2 linked regions of the Bombyx mori genome follow. The protein of the gene in region 1 interacts with the protein of each later gene in a pairwise test. Links are inferred from orthologs where the notes say so. Each region holds a gene or a part of one and is shown on either strand. Other genes may lie near its edges.

What was found.
Region 2: the proteins of Golgi phosphoprotein 3 homolog sauron (region 1) and Tctp interact in binary tests that used the Drosophila melanogaster proteins (3 or more experiments, as listed by UniProt). The link is inferred for Bombyx mori from reciprocal best matches to the Drosophila melanogaster genes sau and Tctp.

What each region holds. Positions count from the first base shown.
Region 1 is NC_085111.1:10,440,947-10,444,904, forward strand, and holds the start of Golgi phosphoprotein 3 homolog sauron, read left to right. Parts: upstream 1-1,158; 5' UTR 1,159-1,480; coding exon 1,481-1,666; intron 1,667-1,756; coding exon 1,757-1,904; intron 1,905-2,842; coding exon 2,843-2,941; intron 2,942-3,635; coding exon 3,636-3,811; intron 3,812-3,958. UniProt on the Drosophila melanogaster protein: Phosphatidylinositol-4-phosphate-binding protein that links Golgi membranes to the cytoskeleton and may participate in the tensile force required for vesicle budding from the Golgi.
Region 2 is NC_085110.1:16,151,095-16,159,740, forward strand, and holds Tctp (translationally-controlled tumor protein homolog), read left to right. Parts: upstream 1-3,954; 5' UTR 3,955-4,029; coding exon 4,030-4,057; intron 4,058-4,261; coding exon 4,262-4,520; intron 4,521-5,872; coding exon 5,873-6,104; 3' UTR 6,105-6,282; downstream 6,283-8,646. Other genes in the region: zinc finger protein 271, read right to left, coding at 1-79, 359-457, 766-900. UniProt on the Drosophila melanogaster protein: Involved in calcium binding and microtubule stabilization.

The sequences.
Region 1 (3,958 bases):
TTTTGGATTTCAATGATCATGATCGAATTTTGATCATTGGTAAAAAATATACAGACGAACCACAAAGTGATCTTATCTTTTTTCTGTACTTTGCGCCTGGTCAAAAATTTGTACTTTATCGACATGTTTAACCTCGGCTAAACTGGGTGTAACTGGGTCGCGACTTCTAAACACCAGATATAGCTTAAGTACGTTTGCGTACATGCAGAAGATGGTGTCAGAATTTCAAAAATTTGGATATCGGGGACTGTGTTACGATCTCTGAATTTATAAACTGCATCGCTTAATGTAAGTTACGAAAGTCTCTGCAGATTCTCTGAGGAATTAGCCGAGATTAAATTAATCTATTCACATGAAACTACATCAAATATATTCTCCAATAAACTATAGTATGAGATTATTTCTTCCACATAATCGGTCTTTCATCAAAATAGATATCTTGGGGAGAGATAAAATGTTTCTTAAACTATTAAGCATTTATTTTTAGTAACGAAGCATCACCTTTTTAGTGCAATATATTATTATGTGAAAACAGGTTATTATATCCTTCTACAATATATTTCGTAATCTAACCATTTCATCCAATGCAACACCATCACAGTCCCACACCTCCTGTCAAATCAAGTTCTTCTATCTGATGATAGTTTCTGTGACTACTGGGGTTTTAACGTGAAATTAATTTTAGATTCCGGAAAAGGAATCTGCTAGAATATCCAAAGAAGACAGCAGGCGCTGCGATGCATAGTAAGTGGCACAACTGTCTTTTAATTGTCCGTACTGTCGTTAATACTGAAGAACCTGATCACGATAATGGGAAAATTTTATTAATTTACTCTATTGCCATCGATTCTCGATAACTATACGAATTTAAATTAAATCCAAAGCTTTAAACTGAGTGAAAGTCACTTTCAAAGATACATATGTACACACCAAGCACATAAAAACTCGTTAAAATAATACCTCTCTGTGGGGTTTGTACAACAGTATAGTAGCATCACTCTGAACCCTTTAGGAAGCTTTAGGTATTGAAGATTTGAAAGTAAATTCAATGTAAATTACAATAAAGTAAAATAAGTCGCAGCCCAAGTACTCAGCTTGGTACTCGACTTCTTTGGATACTCGAGATTGTACTCAATTTCTGGCTATCCGAGTTGAGTTCTTTCTTAGTATTGTAGCTTGCAAGTGCAGTATACAAATACATGAAAATTTCTAAAAGGTATTCAAATTCATTTAATTCGACACATTGCTAGTAAATCAATCAATCGAAATGATTTGAATAATATTTGCAAAGATGCATAAAATTACACACTGAATGGTTCTGGTGAAAAGGAACGTATAGTCGGCCATGTTTTCGACAACAACATCACGTCGCAACGTAAACGTCAACTTGACCATTCATTTACAATTTTTCGATATAAATATAGTTCTTTCTTGTGAAATTAATTAGTTTTAGCATTTTAAAATATAACTTAATGAGAATATGAACCGTACTGAGGGTTTAGTGCAACGAAGAAATGTTATAAAGGAGAGTAACACAGACGGACAGAAAGAAAATCACGACAACGATGATAAGAAAAATGATAAAAATTATGATGACGGAGATTCCAAGGAAACTAAATTGACATTAATGGAAGAAGTGTTACTGTTAGGGTTAAAGGATAAAGAGGTGAATATTTACATGACTAACTGATCTGATAAATACAATGGCATTCCAGCAGTCTAAAGATCGTGACATGCTCATCTTCTACCGTTTCAGGGTTATACATCATTTTGGAATGACTGCATATCCAGTGGTCTAAGAGGATGCATTCTAATTGAACTGGGCTTAAGAGGACGACTTGAACTGGAGCGAGCTGGAATGCGTAGGAAAGGCTTGTTGTCTAGAAAAGTGATTGTAAAGTCAGGTAGGTGACTACTGCTCAAGTTTAATTAACAAACCCATATATCTGTTTTAAAAGTGACGATAAAATTTTGAATATTCTAAAGTACTCATTAACAACTGATCAACACTGAAGCTAAAGGTACTATTAATGCTAAATTGATTAAAGCTATATTTTCTCACATAGAATATCCTTTTTGTTCCAGAAAATGCATTTCTTTAACCTAGTATAAATATAGTAAAAAAGTTGACAATTTAATTTTCTTTCATCCAAATTACAAATATTGAAATTTGAAAATTGTCTGAAAAATTAATCACTACATCCTAAGTTTTGTTTACATAATATATTTTCTAGAAATTAAAATTTATAAGCTATAAGACTTAGACTAAATAGCAACCACATAACATCAAATGAGCCATAAGGATGTTGAGTAGTCCTCAATGTTTAAAAAAAAATTGTAATCTTTCACACTTACACAACCTCAAAACCATCTATTATTCTTAGTATATGGTGAGCAGATAATGATGAACTAACAGGGGATTTTTTGTGACAGACGAAAATAAACAATCTTACTAATTATTTAAAAAAACAAGCTATCAATAATTAACTATAAAAGAACTAAAGTATCAGCTTGAATTGAAATTAATTTTGATAACATTTAAAAAATACATTAGCAAACATTATTTTATTGATAAAATATTTTCGTAGAAATAGTCAATATTTAATTTTCTTTTATATTTAGAAGCAAATTATTTAAAAATAATAATAATAATTAATAATAATAATTTATTTATTAACCTTGATACATTTACACATAATAATTTATAATGGTTCTTGAAACTTGTTGTGCAAGATACTCTAAAGCAATTTCAAATTCTAATAAGCAAACAAAATTAATTATTTCACTATCAACAAGCTCTTCTTAAATTACATTGTAACAAAATAAAATAAAAACATTTTAGATACTTTAACCGGTGATGTTCTGCTAGATGAAGCTCTGAAACATATGAAAGATACTGACCCTCCAGAAACAGTACAAAGCTGGATTGAATATCTGAGTGGTATGTAAATATTTATGATTTCAAATGTTACAGTTGTGCAACAAATATGACATTTACCAAGAGCTTAGAGTTTATGTGTTGTGAAAATTAAGTTATGCAATTTTATCAGGAATTGTAACTTTGTGTTTTGGAGGGCAATAGATCCAATTTCACAGTTTTTGAGAATTGGAAATAAGTATGTTATAATCTTGAGAAAAAACTATGGTTTATGTTAGTCAATATTTCTAAGAGATTTTAGCTCTAGGCAGGTTTAGAAACTTGGCAGTAGATTTTAGTATAATACCAATAAGTGGTTAAATTAAATGTTGAATAGATTAAAACTCCTAAAAATTATTCAAAATAAAACAATAAATCTTTTTAAATAGAATAACAGATTTAATTTTATTTTACAACAAATTGGCTTGGCGCAATTGCTTTCCAAGGCAAGGATATTTACTAGGGTTTGCCTACTGATCAAAATTCAAGCATAATTTCTGGCACCTTAACATCTCTTCTGCCAGAAGCTGGAATGGCACCTTAGGCTACCAGCGAATAGGTGGGGAAAAGTGTTTAAATTCTTATATATTACATTTATTTGCTTTATTATCAATAGCCACCTCATAAAAGAAATTATACTTCACTGTTTGGCCGTGGCCTATTTATATGAAAATATATGGAAATGAGTTTTAAAGATGTAGATGGACAATATTTTTAGGTGAAACATGGAATCCAATGAAACTGAAATACCAGTTAAAGAACGTACGCGAAAGATTGGCTAAAAATCTGGTTGAGAAAGGGGTTTTAACAACAGAAAAACAAAATTTTCTTTTATTTGACATGACGACACACCCTCTCACAGATAATGTCGTTAAGTGCCGTTTAGTTAAAAAGGTAAGTCAAATAATAATGTTTTGATATTTAGTTATTTAAAACCCTTTATTATTAAAACCAGCTACTTCAATACACACCTGCCAATTAACAACAGTAAAGCTGATTGTTTATAAATAATTTGCAATAATAATGTCGTTACCATTAAGG
Region 2 (8,646 bases), on another chromosome or scaffold:
CAGTTATAACTTCTTCTGTAGACTTGAGAGTTGATTTCTTATATTCAATCTCTCTTTGATGCAGTTCTCGAAGTGTTTTCTGAAATTACAATAACCTAGTTGACATTGGAAAACATTTTCTGAGTGCATTCAAACATAAAATGTGATTAAAATGATTAACAAGATCTAAGTTTTTGCAGTTCAAAGGCAATAAAAACTGTTGAGATTAGTTATTTGAGCAACAAACCCCTTCTTGTCGAAAACAGGTTCCTCTCCCATACACGCAGAACATAAGAATGTTAAAGAACTGCCCATATTATTGTTAATTGTTAAAGCTTTTTTTAGTTTTCAGTGTTAATTTTTTATTTCATTTTATTACCTGTCCTTTTATAATCAGATTCAAGAATTCTACGGTGGCTTCCAGCTGTATAGTGCATCCAGGACAAATTGTACGTGGTAGTTGACCATCATCGGACACCTATATTAAAACAACAAAATACATTTTATTTTCGATTTTCAAGTAAATTAAATCTGGCGCGACTTCATTTTGTGTGACAATGTGGATTAGTTGTTGTTCGCCATAACATTCATCAAGATGATCATTCGCCGTCAATGGATGAAAACTATTTGCAAATTAAATCGAATAAATGTTATGGTTTTTTAAAAATACTTTCGAGTTTAAAATGTTCATTAATTTTTGTACACTTTTAATATAGTAGCTAAATCGAAGGTCAGCTATTTTACTTTGACACTAGGTCAATACAATTTAAGAGTAAATGCAATTACCTTTATCGGTAAATACGTGTTAACAATTTCACTCAAGCTTGTATTATTATCTTCAAGTACATATAACACGGTGCCGTTATCATTTTCTTCACCACATAATCTACAAACAGTCGAATTATAAAGAAAAACTTCCATAGTTTCCTTTGGAATGGGTGGAACTGCGCCATCTATATCCGATCCATCAACTTCAAGCGATTTCAACTTTCCATTTACCTACCAATAATATTCGAGTGTCAAGTTAGAAGTTGGCCTATGTCAAAGTCAGTGAATTGCGCGATCAAATATTTTTTAGCATTAATTAATGCCTTTGAAAATAGTATATCCATTTAGGAATCTTTTGATGTACCTAATGCTAAAATATATTTTTTATATTTACCACGTACTAACATACTGTCTACAACGCCTTCAGTGCTTAATCTGAGAATTCGTTGAATAAGACGAATAAATCAAACAACTGAGATTGTGGAAAACACAATTTAGCGTTTTTGGTGAATTTGTCTACTTAATTACCGGTAGCCTCGAGGGTTATTCTGCGTCTTGATATGATACGTGGCAATTTTACGGGTCTGAGCCTGAGAAAACTTGCTAACATGCGTTAGTTTATTAAGGTTGAAGCTGTGGGTTAAATAGCAAGTCGAACTCTTTCGCATTCAACGAGTTCGACAAGAACCGCGACTGATACTTAGAATGCTTAGAAGTAGGTACTGAGAATGGTTCCAAAATGCCGAGTATTGCCGAGCTTATCGTTAGTATTTCCCTGTCGTCTGGTTCGGGTATATAATTTCATTCAAGCAATCACGATTTGATAGTTTTCGTATTGCGCCGCTTTCTCGAAGCGTTCTGACGCTGTCTTCATAAACAGTCAGCGGCACGGAATATGGCCCAAGCCTAAGCAGACCGATAACGGGCGATTTTTGTATCGCGTATGAGAATTTCGAGTGGCAGTTTATCTTAACCATTTTTTTTGTTAATTTTGAGAGTAAGCACTTAAAAATGTCCATTTGTTTCATTTCTGTGACACTTGACGTTAGTTCGTTAGTGAAACGCACAAAAGACGGGTCAGTTAAAATTCGATATTCCAATAGTCTTGCATTTAATCTTTAATGTTTAATTTTTTTATCAATCGGTAGTAATTTATGCTTCTAGAATTGGAAAACAATGACCCTAACACCTGCTCAAGTTGTTCAGGCTGTGTTACTTCGAAATCAGGGGCGAACGCAGCGAGAAATTGCTGAAACTTTAAATGTATCGCGTACAGCTCTCAGGTACGCCGTAACAAGGTACGACCAGACCGGTCTATACACAAGGAGACCAGGTAGTGGTGGTATTAGGTGTACATCAGAGCGAGATGACCGATTTATCACTCTCGCAATTTTGTGAAATCGGTTCCTTACTGCAGTCGAAATTCGGCAGCGGCTACAAATTTCAAGAGGAATCAACGTAAGTGAGCGAACAATAAGAAGGAGAATGGAGGAACGAAATCTACGTGTTCGAAGACCAGCTCGTGGTCCGAATTGCTCCGACACCATCGCGTAGCTCGACTACGGTTCGCTCGTGAACACGCGCAGTGGACTCACGAGCAGTGGAGTAAAGTTCAGTGGACTGACGAATGCCGAGTAGCCTTAAGAGCTCCAGACGGACGCGAACGTGTGTGGAGAAGTCATGGGGAGAGGTTTCTGCCAATCACTACCAGGCAAACCGTCAGTTTCCACGGTGGGTCCGTTATGGTTTGGGGAGGTATCTCTTCAGACACACGCACAGAGTTGGTAGTTGTTGAAGGTCGTCTAACAGCAGTGCGATACATTGAAGAGATCCTTCAGGAACATGTTTTACCATTCGTGGGATTCATCGGGGGCGAAGATTTCATCCGCATGCAAGATAATGCCCGACCTCACACAGCACGTTGCGTCGATGATTACCTGTCGGAGGTGAGCATCAGAAAATTTGAGTGGCCAGCACGAAGTCCAGACATGAATCCCATAGAACATGTCTGGGATATACTTAAAAGGCGAATTCGATCCAGTCCCAACCCTCCAGAGACCATCAGTCAGTGGAAAACCGCCCTAGTGGCCGCCTGGGAAGAAATACCCCAGTAAACATTATCCATAGCATGCCTGATCGTATGCAGGCGGTTATCAGGGCCAGACGTGGAAATACCCGTTATTAATTTTAAGTAACATACCCTAATTTTGTAAAAAGAAAATCAAAAGATTTTTAAACATAGAGCTGTAATGACCTTTTTGTAATTAACACAAATTTTAACAAATTTAACTCGCTTTTAGTTAATTAATCACTTTCATTTAAGTTCCAAATAAAGATTTAATTTTTACCACAAAAAAAGAACCTTGTCTCGCGTTTCATTTTGATAATAATTACAGCACTAGAGCGCATTATGCGGCATAATGCTCAACGTTGAATGTTCCAATTACAGCAACGCTTCGCACAATCGAGCACTTTCAAAAGTACTGTTCTCGCGTGATACTCGCAATCGATACCAACTCAGTAACAGACCTCAGTGAAGTGTAAACCTTTATTGCTGAAAAAATTTAAGGCTTTCGTTTCGTCGTAGTTTCTTGGAAATAATCAAAGTTAATTCCAACTGTGCTAAAAAAATAAATATAAGTATGGATGAAGGTACAAATAATTACTTTTTTTTATATTCCGCATTTAAAATGTGAATACAATTTCATTTTAGAATTCGAATCTGTAAACAAATTTATTTTACAAGAATACACTTTTGTAAACATTGCAATGGCTTGATCGAATCATCATCATGAACTTAGCGCACTCTGCTGATGCATTTGAAAACTAATTCACGTTCCAATTAAGCTTCAGCATATTTCGGCATTGTGTGCCACTGAGTCGCATTATGCATTATGCTCTGTAATTGGAAAACTACCAATAAACCTAAATCAGTAGGTAATATTTAAATTGTCCAGATTGTGCATCAAATTGTAACAACTTTTGTAAGTAGAATTTTTCAGTCTACTTAGGAGCCCATAGACTTTTTTTTTCCTACCTAAGCTGATAGCCTTGAGAGGCTATTTCAGCGGACTTTAGAATGGTACTTAATATAACTTTTTAGTTTACTGTGAGCTTTGTCGATAGATTACTATGTTACACAACCATAGATTACAAACAATATTCGACAGTCTTGTTTCATTGCTTTCTTTCACATGTCAAATGTCCTTTCCGGTTTAGTTGTTGAGGCGAGAAGCCGTTCTTTCGGTTTTTATTATTTTTAATCGCCTCCAATCCATCAAAATGAAGATCTATAAGGACATTATCACTGGTAATCATATTTTCTACGAAATGCTGCTTTTAATTTTGGTAATATTTTGTGATTTCGTGTTTAAAATAAATAATATTGATAACTGATGATTTTGACATTTGACTAGACTTATTAATTTCAGAAACCTAACTAATTTGCCACATCGACATGAGATCCTCTAAATTATCAAAAGTGAAAATTAAAAGTACGGTTTTCTCATTTCAGGTGATGAGATGTTCTCTGACACTTACAAAATGAAATTGGTCGATGAAGTTATTTACGAAGTGACCGGTAGGTTGGTGACGAGAGCACAGGGTGATATCCAGATCGAGGGTTTTAATCCTTCGGCTGAAGAGGCTGACGAGGGCACGGACTCGGCCGTCGAGAGCGGAGTTGACATAGTCCTGAACCACAGGCTAGTCGAAACATACGCCTTCGGTGACAAGAAATCCTACACATTGTACCTCAAAGACTATATGAAAAAGTGAGTGCTGTGTATATTTTATACTTAAAAACGTATTAAATTCGTTGTGCACACTGCGTTTCATGTAAAAAGAGTTTATAAGGAGTGAAAACCTTGTAAAGATTCAATGAATTTAAGGTCACGCAGACGACGCCTGGCTTACGACTTTTCAAAGTTACTGCATGGTTATGACTCAGCTCATCATCAATAATGCTTGATGACAATGCTAATAACATCCTACATAACAGCTTACAAATTATTCATTGTGGTAATGAAAATAATTGAATGTGTAATATACATGACAATGACATTGAAATCAGCTTATCATTGAAGATTAGATACTTATGAGGCTGATGTTTGCTTTTGTTTACGGATTTTCAATTTGTAGCTTAAATCACATTTTGGTTTAGTTTATGGCTAGTTATGTTTGCAAGAAGCATAATGGTGATTGTAAATCAACAAGGTGATTATATTTTACACTGACGTTTGAAAATCATTCAAACCATTGTGATTAAGTATAGTTCATTCAAATGGCTTTGTTATAAAATAATATTAAAGGGTTTTAAAACTTTGATTCAAAAACACAACAATGGTCATTAGTTCTGGATTTTTAGATCATGAGAAATGTATTTCAATATTCATAAATTTTTTATTATTCAATTTATTTATGTTACTATTTTACCCCTATAGTAAGTCACTAAGTATAGGTAGGTGTAAGAAAATCGTGAAAGTAAATTTTTGTGAGTTTATTTTTTATGATTGTTGATAATTAAAAAAATACTAACTATTTAGATACTAAATTAAAAATAGTTATTACTATATAATTATTTATTGCAGCTGATATATAAGGTTAAGTTTAAAAAAAGGGATCTTGTCTGTTTCCCTTTGAGTATTTGAAAAAGAATGGAAGAAATGTTAACTGCCTTATATAAACAGTAGCTTTGTATTACATGTATACCTATATTTGCAAATATAAGTTTTTTCATTTTCACAAGACAATTTAGTGCAAATTTATTTTTAAATTCATTATGGTGAAAAAATGCTAAAAGGCAGTAATAATAGTAAATCCCCACATTTATCTTTTAAGTCTGTTCAAAAGCTAAAGGGCATCAACCATGCCAGGCAGGCAGAGACAAAGGTTGGATTATTTGATGTGCATGCTTAATATAATAGCATCATCTAATACCAAAAGTGAAATTTTCAATGTTCACTTATGGAGCTTTTGATGCAAAAGTAATAGAACCCTAATGAAAAAACATTCATTTTTATAATGTTTGTTCATGAAATAGAGATGACAAATAACTATTTACTGGTGTCAATATTTTTTGATTGTATTTTTACAACTTAATGATGTAATTTTTTTATTATTTCAGATTAGTAGCAAAATTGGAAGAGAAGGCGCCTGACCAAGTTGAAGTATTTAAAACAAACATGAACAAAGTAATGAAAGACATCCTCGGCAGGTTTAAGGAACTTCAGTTCTTTACTGGGGAGTCTATGGATTGTGATGGCATGGTTGCCATGATGGAATATAGAGACTTTGATGGTACGCAAATACCAATCATGATGTTTTTCAAACATGGTCTAGAAGAAGAGAAATTCTAAATGTTAGATAAGAAATAACTCAATAATTCCAAACTGGCGCCTTGATACTTTTGTTTTTTTATTTATTTATCAATCATGTCCGCATCCTGGCAGGAACTGGCTTCTCTCATCACAAGGCTGAACAATTTTGTATTTAAAAAAATATACTGCATACAACAATAAAATAATTAACATCATATAAATTTGTTTTTTGTTTGTTTTATCAAACATATGCTGGAATATATAAATATTTTTCTTCATCTACTTCTGGTTAGATAGGCCTCACAGGTGATCAGGTCATCTTATGTCGTCCCTTTCTTGGTAAGCTCGCCTCCTCTCCGCTCTTCTAGCTTACTTCCCTAGCTTGGTGAACATAAATTTCACATAATATAATATGTTTTACTATCTTATCGCTTTTGTTATATTTTATACCAGGTAGGCATGACATAAGACAATGCAAGTTTGTGGTTTGGCCTTGTTTTTCGAGCAGTTGAGAAAGTACTACTAAGTGACTTCTGATACCATGACCATTAATGCTGGCGTTCCACAAGGTGCGGTGCTCTCCTCCACACTTTTAATCGAATTTCGAATCGTCGATAATCCCATTCTCACGGATCGTTTGGAACCTCTGGGTCTGCGGAGGGACTTCGGTTCCCTCTGTATTTTGTACCGCATGTTCCATGGGGAGTGCTCTGAGGAATTGTTCGAGATGATACCAACGTCTCGTTTTTACCATCGCACCGCCCGCCACCGGAGTAGAGTTCATCAGTACTACCTGGAGCCACTGCGATCATCCACAGTGCGTTTCCAGAGGTATTTTTTGCCACGTAACATCCGGCTATGGAATGAGCTCCCCTCCACGGTGTTTCCTGAGCGCTATGACGTGTCCTTTAAAAGAGGCTTGTGGAGAGTATTAAGCGGTAGGCAGCGGCTTGGCTCTGCCCCTGGCATTGTTGAAGTCCATGGGCGACGGTAACCACTCACCATCAGGTGGGCCGTGTATGCTCATCTGCCTACAAGGGCAATAAAGAAAAAATTAGAAATTCATCATTTAAGTAATAACATTAAAAATGATATTGGTGGACTTGTCATATATTACAGGGCTAGGTAGCCGTTGATTTATCGAGGTTAGAACTAAGTAGGTGCTATCTTAGTACTTATATAAAAAGGGAGCTAATTAACTAATTAAGGTGTCGCCATAGTAGCACGTGGAAAGATTTAAAAAACAACACCAATTACCACACTTCATCTGTATTCTTAATGCACTGCCAGCACTCAAAGATGTGACGTCAATTTAATATACTGCGATGTCGTTCCTTTACATTAGCTAAAATGGTTAAAACGGAACGCAGTACTACAGTATATTGTCATTGACGGTTTTTAGCGTTGTTTTTACTTGAACAGAAAATTAAGGTTTAAATTTAGTTATATTTAAGAATTGAATATTCAAGTTATTATCAGTTTAATTGATCGCTTAATAAAAATTGTATATTTTATAGTAAAAGAAAATATTGTTTTCAAACAATTTAATGCACAATAACTTAACTTAATAACTCGGTTATTAAAATAGGGATACCGTTAATGTGATAACGTGTTCGAAGTACTGAGAGCACCTAACTTCGAAAACACGTGTTCACAGTAGGAAAAATATGATGCCATATATCTCCCTATACTGTCAGTCCATAACTGAATGAATTTCTCCTCTTTTTTTTTTTTTTTTTTTTTGAAGTGAAACTTCCTTATCGGCGTTGGAAAAAAATTTACCGTCACATTTTTCGGTTACGCGTCACATTTTTCCGTTACGCGCCATCTGTTTTGTATTCATGTCTATGATAATAAAATCCTTTTGTTTAAACTTTATCTAATTTAACTTTTTTGTATTCATGTCTATGATAATAAAATCCTTTTGTTTAAACTTTATCTAATTTAACTTTATTTGCCTGGCGTCGTGGCGTCGATGCTTGGCAGCGATGAGTCATGGAAGGCTATGCTCGACTTCTGCGAGTGCACCATCTCGCAGAAGGAGGCGGCGGGGCGAGTGAGGGAAAGCTCTCCTCACTACGCAGAAACCCGCCGCCGCCGAGCAGGGGGTCGGGACCGGGGTCGTATCCGTGACCTGGCCCCCTAAGAGCTAGGGGTCCCACCCGTTTTGTGCGGGGAGGGACCCAGACGAGGGGTGGCGTGCTCTGCACGCTCACCCGCAATAGGAAGCCGGGTGATGGTAGACCGCGTTCCCCCGACCGCTCTGGGGGAAGGTGTAACGCGGCGCCATCAAAGCGGGCTCTCGGCCCGCTGAACGAGGGAACCGGTGGTCGTTTCGCTGGCGGCCACCGGTCCGGCGTCCGTGGGACGGTGGGATGGATGTAATGTGCTCTGCGTCAACCCTGTCCCGCCGTTTCAATAGCCCCGACTGGGCTCTGGCCCGGTCCGAGGTAGGGCGCCGGTTGTGAGCGGCAGGAGTTTTTAGTGAGGTTCAACTCCCACATACCCCACCTGCCGCGCGGGTGGGGATCCGGCGATTTTCTCCTGTGGAAAAAAAAAAAAAAAAAAAAAAAAAATTTAA